Linked DNA regions of Arabidopsis thaliana. The protein of the gene in region 1 interacts with the protein of each later gene in a biochemical or structural test. Each region holds a gene or a part of one and is shown in the gene's direction. Other genes may lie near its edges.

Region 1 (6,282 bases):
TTCCATTGTATATTTAAAGACCAAAGTCTTGATGGATGATGAAGTAGACTTGAAAATTGATGAAACCCGTTATTGTGTTGTTGTGTTACAAATCCCATCTATGATCGTTGATCTCATAGATGATCATTGATCATTTTTCTCATTTTTCTATGATGAAGTAGACTTTTTCCGGAAGGCTTATGAGAAAAAAATACTATTCTTGTTTTGTAAACATATGTGTTCAATAAAGAATCTATTTTCATTTGCAATCATTCGGATTAATTAAAGTGATTGCTGGATGAATGTTTTGAATCTCTTTTTACCATTTCGCTACAAAAATAAAAAAATTGCGAATTTCGCATCCAGATATATACTAGTATTAAGCATGGGAGATTATTCACTCCTCGAACACATCCTATGACTATGAGTTACACAAATCAAAATTTTTACATTCCAACGTTGATGATCCTTTGGATTTGGTATTTTTCCATGTCATACTATTGTAACTTTGTTTGTAATTTCTTTCTGGTCAATATTACTCTATTGTGGATGCAAGATCGCATAACTAGTCCTCCATCGAATCAAACATGATCACAATTTTAAGAATCAAACTGGACTTTTATATACCGAAATAAAGTTACAAAGATTTCGCTGAGATGTTCTTACTTCTTAGAGCTAGATGAGTAAGTAATATTAGGGATTTTCTAGTGTACAATTGATGCCTCTATACATTACTCTCCATCAGATTTATAGGACTTGACCTCGTCTGCTTCTCTGATATTTCCCAGAAATCTCGCTCCTTTTAGTTTCTGCTTGAATCTATCAAATCCTAGTGATTTTGCGACCACCTACTTCTTTATTCTTTCCTTTTTGTTGGTTATGTCCAAACTGATTTAAGAGTATCCACATTGGTTATTTTTATGAGTGTTTTTAGATGGCTATTTTTAAATATAAAAGAGTAAAACAAATAAAAAATATGAGGGTCATTAAAATGAAAATTATATCTTCCTAAAACATTTAAGACATCTATACCTTTAATATTATTTTATATGAAATACATCTATGAAAAATTATTCGATGAGGATGGTCTAATGAGTCGGAGAGTCTCAGACCAACATCTATCTATAACTATTTTTTTTTTCACTGGAAATATAGATTTCATTGATAGAAGATCTGAGTACAAGAGCTGACAAGAGAAACACTCTTCTAAAAGCCGGAGAGTACATGGGACCTTCCAGGAACTAAAAACATATTTAAATGAAACAAAGGGGAAAAAAACCGATCTAACAAATTACATCACATCTGATCAAGTACTTCCCAGACCCAAAATCCAAGAGTTCAAACGAAATATACAAAGTCTAAAACAACAATGATAAACTGATAGATCTGAGACTAGAAGCCTCACTTAACTCAACCTAAACACGAATGGGCGATGAGATAAAACCATCATCCAGAGACCCAAAGGAGTGAGAGCCTCATGAAGGAGAGAACGAGATCGGGATCTTCAGGTGGAATTTCAGAAGTCTGAGGCGAAAATTTGGATAGAAACGCTTCTGCCTTGGATGGATCGGCCAGATCTGACTCTGTTCTTGAAAAAGACAAAAGACAAACAGCAAAAACCTAAAAAGAAAAAGTTTTAGACTTTAAATATCTAGATCTGAAAATTCAGATTCACAACCGTTGGAAAAAAATCTCTCAGATGTGTCTAAAGAAAAAAGATAGAATAAGAGCAAAACAAAAGACTTCGGTTCCGGTGCTGAGAAAGCCACCGGAACCGGTAACCCTAAACGCAGGCGGCGGCTGAAGTTTTAGAGATAAGGGAGAGTAAAATTTTAAGAGTGAGAAAATGACGAGATGTGAGCTTGTAAATACTTTTTGTAATATAAGTAACTATAAGTAATATTTTTTTTGTAATACCTCAAATTTTATTTTTAATGATATTTACAAGTTTAACAAAACAAAAACAAAAAACAAAATATTATTCTAGTCATAGCAAGTGAGAATTTTTGAAAAGGGAATAAATGTGTGTAATTAATTCAACGGTCCAACAGTGGCTTGGACCTAACACTAATGACATTTGTTCTTCTTGTAATTTTTATGTGGCTGTCTTCTTGTACCAAGTACGTAGACAATAGTTTGATTCTATTTGGAATCAAAACTCAAATTACATTTACAAGAAAAACGATCACAGATACAGTAATTCGTAGTATTCGCCAAAGTTCCTTTTGCAACTTTCAAAAAGTGCAAAAACAAGACCACTTTTTCGTAATAAGATAGTAGCAAAAAAGCACGACTATTCCATAAAACTGTCCACGTCCCTCCAGAAAACTCCCCCCACATGCGATTTGCCACGTGTCCCCACTCAACTACACACAAAGCCATTTTAAATCAAATTATTAATCAAACTTAAAAAACGTAATCGTGTGCTGATGATGATGATGACACTGTCACTGCCTCAAAAACCTCTATAAATTAGTCCTCTTCACCGAATCCTTGTAAATCATTACTGTACTTTTCTCTCTTAACGGTTTCTTTATTATTCTTCCCATTCTACCCCTCTTCTTCCTTCTAATTCCCCCTCAAATGCCACTGTCTTCTCACTAAACTCCAAAACCCACCGGAAAAAATGATTACGTGGCACGACTTGTACACCGTCCTCACCGCCGTGGTACCACTTTACGTAGCTATGATTCTCGCCTACGGATCCGTACAGTGGTGGAAGATATTCTCACCAGACCAGTGCTCCGGCATCAACCGCTTCGTCGCTATCTTCGCCGTCCCTCTCCTCTCCTTCCACTTCATCTCCACCAACGATCCTTACGCCATGAATTTCCGCTTCGTCGCCGCCGACACGCTTCAAAAAATCATCATGCTCGTCTTACTTGCTCTATGGGCTAACCTAACCAAGAACGGTAGCTTGGAGTGGATGATCACAATCTTCTCTCTCAGCACTCTCCCAAACACTCTTGTCATGGGGATCCCTCTGTTGATCGCCATGTACGGAACCTACGCAGGTTCTCTAATGGTCCAAGTCGTTGTTCTTCAGTGTATCATTTGGTACACTCTCCTTCTCTTCCTCTTCGAGTACCGTGGCGCTAAGCTTCTTATTATGGAGCAGTTCCCGGAGACTGGTGCGTCTATTGTTTCGTTTAAAGTTGAATCCGACGTCGTTTCTCTCGACGGTCATGATTTTCTTGAGACGGATGCTGAGATAGGAAACGACGGGAAGCTTCATGTTACCGTGAGGAAATCAAACGCATCGAGACGGTCACTGATGATGACTCCACGGCCTTCGAATCTTACCGGAGCTGAGATCTATAGTCTTAGTTCGACTCCGAGAGGTTCTAACTTTAACCATTCTGATTTTTACTCTGTTATGGGGTTTCCCGGCGGGAGGCTTTCGAATTTTGGTCCGGCGGATTTGTACTCCGTTCAATCTTCTCGTGGTCCGACTCCACGGCCTTCGAACTTCGAAGAGAACAACGCCGTTAAATATGGATTTTACAATAACACTAACAGTTCTGTTCCGGCGGCCGGTTCGTACCCGGCTCCGAACCCGGAGTTTTCAACCGGTACGGGTGTTTCAACTAAACCGAATAAAATTCCTAAAGAAAACCAACAGCAACTGCAAGAGAAAGATAGCAAAGCGAGCCATGACGCTAAGGAGCTTCACATGTTTGTTTGGAGCTCAAGCGCTTCTCCGGTCTCCGACGTGTTTGGCGGAGGTGCAGGCGACAACGTGGCAACGGAACAATCTGAACAAGGTGCTAAGGAGATTCGGATGGTTGTCTCTGATCAACCTCGAAAGAGTAATGCTAGAGGTTCTTTTTTTTTTTTTTTTTTGTCATCAAATATTATTTAGCTAAAATTGCGGAAAATTGTTTACATAAATAATATGCTAGAGGTTTGTTGGTTTAATTTTATTATTATTCGAATACTATTATTTTTGTATGTATTCATGATTTTTGGTTTTCTCAGGTGGTGGTGATGATATCGGCGGTCTTGATAGTGGAGAGGGAGAAAGAGAGATAGAGAAAGCTACAGCAGGGCTGAATAAAATGGGGTCTAATTCCACGGCGGAGCTAGAGGCGGCTGGTGGAGATGGCGGCGGCAACAACGGAACACATATGCCGCCGACAAGTGTGATGACACGACTGATATTGATAATGGTGTGGAGAAAGCTGATCAGAAACCCAAACACGTACTCCAGTCTAATCGGTCTCATATGGGCTCTTGTTGCTTACCGGTCAGTGAGTCCAATCATTTTCTTACTTACAGATTTTATGGATAAATGTTATAATAAGAAAAGGAAATAATATAATCATCTATGCATGGAATAATTGTAGTGGGAACTAATAATGAGTATGGGTTGTTTTTGGAAGCAGGTGGCATGTGGCTATGCCCAAAATATTACAACAATCCATCTCCATACTCTCAGATGCTGGTCTTGGAATGGCTATGTTCAGCTTAGGTAAACACTAACCTTGCTTCATGCAAATCTAGACTTGTTTTGATGATGATCTAATCTTTAAAGTTGGGTTCAAATTTGTTCTCATCTTATCTGTTAAAAAAGATTCATTTAATGCAAAGTGGGTCTGTGTGTTTAATTAGTCGTAGTTGTCCAGCTTGTAATTGGTAAAAGTCATATAAACTGTACAAAGCACTTACCCAAAGAGAGAATCCTGACCCTCTGACCCAGACATGTTGGTGTGTCCGGTCCCCACGCCGAGTCCCCACTGGCTCTGTCTACTTATTTGGGTCTCACCAAGTAGATGACCTAACTCTTTGCTGTCAATTTTCTCAAATCCTTTTAGTTAATGAATTGCTTATTTTTGGTGTAATTTTAAGGTTTATTCATGGCACTTCAACCCAAAATCATTGCTTGTGGGAACTCTGTCGCCACGTTTGCCATGGCGGTCAGATTTATAACCGGTCCGGCCATCATGGCTGTTGCTGGGATTGCCATTGGCTTACACGGCGACCTTCTCCGTATAGCCATCGTTCAGGTATACAAATTTATAACGTTACATGATATAGCTAGGTCTATTATAAATATTACATGATCACGATGATGATGTTGATGAATGCATGAATTATTAGGCTGCGTTGCCTCAAGGAATAGTTCCGTTTGTGTTTGCAAAAGAGTACAATGTGCATCCCACGATTCTAAGCACTGGGTAAGTTCCAAACTTATTTTATGTTACAGCCACATTTTTATTTTTGTTACAAACTTACAATATATTAACAAATGTGTGAATGATGGTGAAAAATATGGATGCAGGGTCATATTTGGAATGTTAATAGCCTTACCTATAACTCTGGTCTACTATATTCTTCTTGGCCTTTGAATTGGTCCCTTCAGTATCAACTGGCTTTTGAGAGAGCCTCGGAGATTGGGCTATTTATTTCTCGGTAACGAGGAAATAAGCAAAGCCTTTATTTTTCGTGGGAAAGAGTGGAAGGTGAAGAAGAAGATATGCCTTTGGTTTTTGGTTCCAATATTTGTGGAACACAACAAAAGTACTTAGGATTTAGTGAACAAGACTTGAATGGATTAAGGATCTTGTCTTCATTAGACGCCAAGAAGAAAAAATCTCTCTTCCTTACCTTTATTTTTTCATTTTCTGTTTTTGTTAATTTATGTGTAGATTTTGGCTAAGCAGATATGTAATATGCACCTTTTTTTATTAATTGAAGTTTCTAGTTAAGTGGTTTATACTGAAACTAGCTTATGAGTTGGATTGAAATAGTCCTATACTATATATATACACCCTCGTACTGATTTATTTTTTCCACAAATACCATTAATATTAATTCATCGGGAAGAGATTCTCCGCTAGAGAGAGCCATTCATGAACCATTATGCTTACATAGGAGAAAATATTATTTCTACCCCGAGCTTTTTTAGCTAAACAATCAGTTCGAGTGTTAAAACTACGAGAAAAAAATCTAATACGGAAAGAAAGGAAAAAACAAACTAAGGAGCGATAGGATGCCAATTCCGCTGCGAATGTCGGTCAATCGTCTTGATTGTCAATGATAGAAATCAGGTCTGAACAGTCAGAAGCAAAAGTTTCAAAAGACAGTAATTTTATTTTATTACAGTTAATTTAAGCATATTCCTTGATAACAAACACTGTTTTACGACAGAAGCAAAATCCTAATCTCTAATTAATTAATCCTATGATCATACGATGCATGTTTACGGTCCCGTTTTTTTAAGAATACACGATCTCTAGCAGAAAAAAATCTCAAAAAGTTTATGTTAACTTCAAATTCTGTGAACTTCCGCACATGAATCTA
Region 2 (4,941 bases), on another chromosome or scaffold:
TTGGACATAAAAGAACTAGGTATTTTTGCTATTTAAAGCATTCACAACTACCACCAATAATGATTAATCTCATTGTAGGAACACTCGAATCTTTAATTTTCACGATAAATCTTTTAACCATTGAATCTCTATGAATTTGTTAAGAAAATAATATAATTAAGACTTTGAGAGGACTCGATCTAAATCTAAGAGTAAACCTAGAAACTTGTATAAAAATGGATATTCTTACCATTTAAATGTTAAAGCATCCTTAGTGACAGTGTCCAGCTATGATTTAAATTGTAATGAAGAAACTTAGAAACCTTAATCCCTCAAGTATCATGGTAAACAAAACATTTTAATAAACTAAACCTTTTATTTTGTTATTATTGCAGTATTTTTAACCTAAAGAAATGGGATTATAATGAAGAAAGATTCCCCACTCGCGTTTCACGTCACAAGCCGATCGTGTAGCAATTGTCGTTATTGGATCTGAGCTTCTCGATTAAAAATTGACGCAGTAATTGGATCTAATAAGAGCATGAGGTTAAAATATGAATTATTTGAGATATGAGGAAATGAACAAATTATACCCACTTGTGTTCTTTTATGTTGAACAATCTTCTGGTTTGTCAACTACCTGTTGAACCATTTCTAAAAAAACATTGTTTCTGTTCGATTTAAATGTGGGGGAAAAAAAATAAAATACATGAAATATAATCTTAGAATCTAAGGAAACTTATTATTGGGCAATAAATAAGAATTTGCTGAAAAGTTTTAGGGGCATCTTTTGGAACTCTCAAGTTTCAAACAATGGTGAGTCTAATTTTAAATAATTGTTTGGTGTGTTTAGTAAAAAAATAAAATAAAATTAATACACATGACCAATTTACGTATTTGTTATTAGGGAAATTTTTTAAAGGTTTATACAATTTTGGAATGTTTAGTTATTTTTAAAAACTTAAAAGATTTTTTTTTATTGATTTTGGTAAATGACAAAAACTTTCACTAAAAATTTGAAAACAGAATGTTTGACGGATGCTAACAAGCTTTTAGAAAGTATTATTTCGACCATAAAATTGGATGAACACTGGATGTAAATGGAATTGATAACAAAAGAAATCGAGATATAAAATATCTATTGTTATGTCTTCATTCAGCTTATAAGATTTATCATCTATTGGCAATCCGAAAAGATGCAAAACTCTTTGTGATATGGTATGCGCTAATGTTCATTTAATGCCTCAAGTTTCACCCATTAGAACACAAGAAGAAACTTCCGAAGATGCTGCATGATGACGAAAACATACGCTTAGGACGATGTTTTCCAAACCGCATAAATAAAACAGAAAATTATAGTTTGGTGGCACGCATATGGGATTGTCCTTCTAACAAAAATGTGCATTCACAATAGTTCTTACTTAGAATTGCTAAACTGAAAAACTCGTGTGAAAACTTAAGCTAAATATGTAAAATCCATAAATTTATGCATAGAGGTAAACATCAATTTTTTTTATCATCAAGTAAAAGGCACATGACAGATTCATGAGAATAGATGAAAGATAAGAATGTTGAATTTTAATAATTTAAATTGATGTGTTTAATAATTTAAAGAATCAAAAAGGAATTTTTTTGGTAAATATATATAAAAATTTCTATAGACAATTATTTAGAAAATCAAAATATAAAGTAAACATGTAGGAAATATACAATAACATGTATCAATAAAAATTTGGTTGCCCTAAAAAGCCTAAAATTATTAACAGCTCGCGAGAGCATTCTTGATGTAAACATATGTCTTCCATTTTGGAGAAAACAAAAAAAAATACATTGAAATAATTGAAATTCCCTCAAAATAAAAAAAATAAAAAAAAGTATTCAACTTTTTATTTGACCCTCTCTCTCCTCTTCCCTCTTTTCATGGTAGACCCAATTCTCTCTCTCTCTTAACAACACTCTCTCCTCTCTCTCCCTCTCTCTATCTATCCCCATTTCCATGGAAGCAAGCAGATGTGTTCTTACATCTCTTTCTCTCTCTACAGCCTTACATGAACAGTGACTGTTCTCTCTCTTTCCCTCTCCTTCCTTTTTTCTTCTACTTCTCCTTCCCTTTGCTTCGAAAAGGGTATCTCGTGATCTTTATCGCTCAAAAATCTTCACTTTCAGGTAACGATTTATTGGGTCTCTCTCTCTCTCTCTCTCTCTCTCTAAAGCTCTGTTCTTTTTATTTCTTCTTTTTCTGGGTTTTATTCTCTGATTCTTGCTAGATCCAAAAGTTCTTTATTTTGCCTCTTCTTCTTCTTTACTTTAACGAGATCTGTTTTTACCCTTAAAGACTCAAAATAAAAATCCAAACTTTTTGCATGAAGAGCTTTAATTGATTTGTCACTTAGATTTGATATTTCAATTTGGGTAAAATTTTGTGCATCTACTTAAACTTTCATCTGTAGTAAGATCCGTGATTGTTGTTTCTGAGTCTTCTCAATCCAGCTTTAAACTGATGCTATTGTTTTGTTTTGATGACTATAGATCAGGCCACTCGTTGATGGAATCTGTGACAGTATTGATTACTAGAGAGTAAAGACAAGTTCTTTAAATCTCAGGGAAGAAGGAATTGGTGTTTAAGATTGCTCTGTGTTAATGATGGCTTCAAAAACTCCAGAAGGATCACTTACCAATTCCAGTCAAAGTATGTCAATCAACACTTTAGCAGATCAAGTATCTTCGAGTTTGTCTTTCGCTGATCCAAGTAGTGATGGCAAAACCGGTAATAGTAAGATCAACGAGCAAGGTGAGAGTGGAAAGAGTAGCACTTGTAGACCAAGTACAAGCAGTGATATAAGCGATGAGAGCACTTGTAGCAGCTTTAGTAGCAGTATCAACAAACCTCACAAGGCTAATGATGTGAGATGGGAAGCTATTCAAGCTGTTAGAACTAAACATGGTGGTTTGGGTTTGAATCATTTTAGGCTCTTGAAGAGGTTAGGATGTGGAGATATTGGAACTGTTCATCTTGCTGAGTTGAATGGAACTAGGTGTTATTTTGCGATGAAGGTTATGGATAAAACTGCTTTGGCTAGCCGGAAAAAGCTTCTTAGGGCTCAAACTGAAAGAGAGATATTGCAGTGTCTTGATCACCCGTTTCTTCCGACTTTGTATAGTCATTTTGAGACAGAGAAGTTCTCTTGTTTGGTGATGGAGTTTTGTCCTGGTGGTGATTTGCATACACTAAGGCAGAGACAACCCGGGAAACGCTTCACCGAGCAAGCAGCTAAGTAAGAAACTTTTTCTAAACTTTCTTTATCTAAGAATCTAGTTTTGTGCGTTTATATAACCTTAGTGACTTGCTGTTTTGCAGGTTTTATGTCGCGGAAGTGCTTCTTGCAATGGAATATTTACACATGCTTGGGATCATTTACCGTGATCTGAAACCCGAGAACGTTCTTGTGAGAGATGATGGGCACGTGATGCTTTCGGATTTTGATCTCTCCCTGAGATGTACTGTGAGCCTCTCTATAGTCAGATCAGCTAATGTTGGATCCGAAGGCTTGTCGAAGAATTCGGTTTCTTGCTCGCAACAACCTGCATGCATCCAGCAACCATCTTGCATCTCAATGGCTCCAACATCTTGCTTCGGTCCTCGGTTCTTCTCATCGAAATCCAAGAAAGACAAGAAACCGAAAACCGAAAACGGGAACCACCAAGTAACTCCGTTACCAGAACTCGTTGCAGAGCCCACAGGCGCCCGTTCTATGTCTTTTGTTGGCACACACGAGTACTTAGCTCCAGAGATCATCAAAGGTGAAGGACATGGAAGTGCAGTTGATTGGTGGACCTTTGGGATCTTTCTTTATGAACTATTGTTTGGTAAAACACCGTTTAAAGGGTCAGGAAATCGAGCAACGCTCTTCAACGTGGTTGGTCAGCCTCTTAGATTCCCTGAATCTCCGGTTGTTAGCTTCGCAGCTAGGGATTTGATAAGGAGTTTGCTTGTGAAGGAGCCACAACATAGATTAGCTTATAAGCGTGGAGCAACAGAGATAAAGCAACATCCTTTCTTTGAAGGAGTGAATTGGGCTCTGGTTCGATGTGCCAGTCCACCGGAGATTCCTAAACCGGTTGATCTTGAAGCTTTGAATCCTACTCCTACTGTGCCAGCAGCCGCATCTTCGAGTGTAAGATCTGATCAGAGTAATTATCTTGAGTTTGATTTCTTCTGAAGAAACTGTTTCCACAGTTGATGATTCTCATTATTGTTTCTTTGCAAATTCTGTTTAGTGTTTTCTACAAATGTGTTTCTTTTTTTTTCTTCTTTTTAATTTTCACGTCTTGGAAAAAGTTATGAGATTTGTAATCATTCTTCAAAGTTGTGAGACAGTCTCTGTACCATCTTCTTGAGTTTAATGTTAGACACGAACCATTGAGAATCCATTAATCCACCATATCAAAACCTCAAAAGTTCCTTGCTTTTCATTGATCTGAACTCTAAACCAAATTGACTAAACCCGTAATTACTTACAAATGGATATATAATAATCATATGTTATCAACAAGCAGTTCTTACTTAAGAGTTAAAACCCTCTTCTAACTCTGTACAGACGAAGAGGAAACAACTAATCTAAAGACTGAGATAATTACCATTGCATAGAAGCTAAATATAAAACACATAGCTTCATTTCAATTGTTTATAGCAGTTATAAGCAATAGCCACAGATGCAGCAGCACAAGCAACAGCTAAAGCAGCATATGTATCTTCTCTCTCCCAAGTCTCCAACCACATTGACATCACCGCACAAACCTTGAATCCACCAGAAGATCCATTCTCGCTGCTTCCTATCCGAAGAGATGCATTTTTTACAGAGGTTACTCTCTCCGAGGTATTTTTCTCTGTGTGAATCTCCTCCAGACAGTAAGAGGAGTTCCCATTTTGTTGGCAACCACTACCGTTCAGCTCTGGGACAG

The links. Proteins that work in one complex are often made in the same cells at the same time.
Region 2: of the proteins of PIN4 (region 1) and D6PK, one has a biochemical effect on the other in vitro, tested with the Arabidopsis thaliana proteins (one study listed by BioGRID).

What each region holds. Positions count from the first base shown.
Region 1 is NC_003071.7:179,523-185,804, reverse strand, and holds PIN4 (Auxin efflux carrier family protein), read left to right. Parts: upstream 1-2,040; 5' UTR 2,041-2,605; coding exon 2,606-3,800; intron 3,801-3,957; coding exon 3,958-4,225; intron 4,226-4,364; coding exon 4,365-4,450; coding exon of another isoform or gene 4,451-4,461; exon of another isoform or gene 4,462-4,827; coding exon 4,828-4,985; intron 4,986-5,079; coding exon 5,080-5,156; intron 5,157-5,260; coding exon 5,261-5,327; 3' UTR 5,328-5,772; downstream 5,773-6,282. UniProt on the Arabidopsis thaliana protein: Acts as a component of the auxin efflux carrier. Plays a role in generating a sink for auxin into columella cells. Maintains the endogenous auxin gradient, which is essential for correct root patterning.
Region 2 is NC_003076.8:22,639,313-22,644,253, reverse strand, and holds D6PK (D6 protein kinase), read left to right. Parts: upstream 1-1,839; 5' UTR 1,840-2,145; exon of another isoform or gene 2,146-2,391; intron 2,392-2,508; 5' UTR 2,509-2,619; coding exon 2,620-3,254; intron 3,255-3,337; coding exon 3,338-4,199; 3' UTR 4,200-4,441; downstream 4,442-4,941. Other genes in the region: AT5G55900 (Sucrase/ferredoxin-like family protein), read right to left, coding at 4,652-4,941.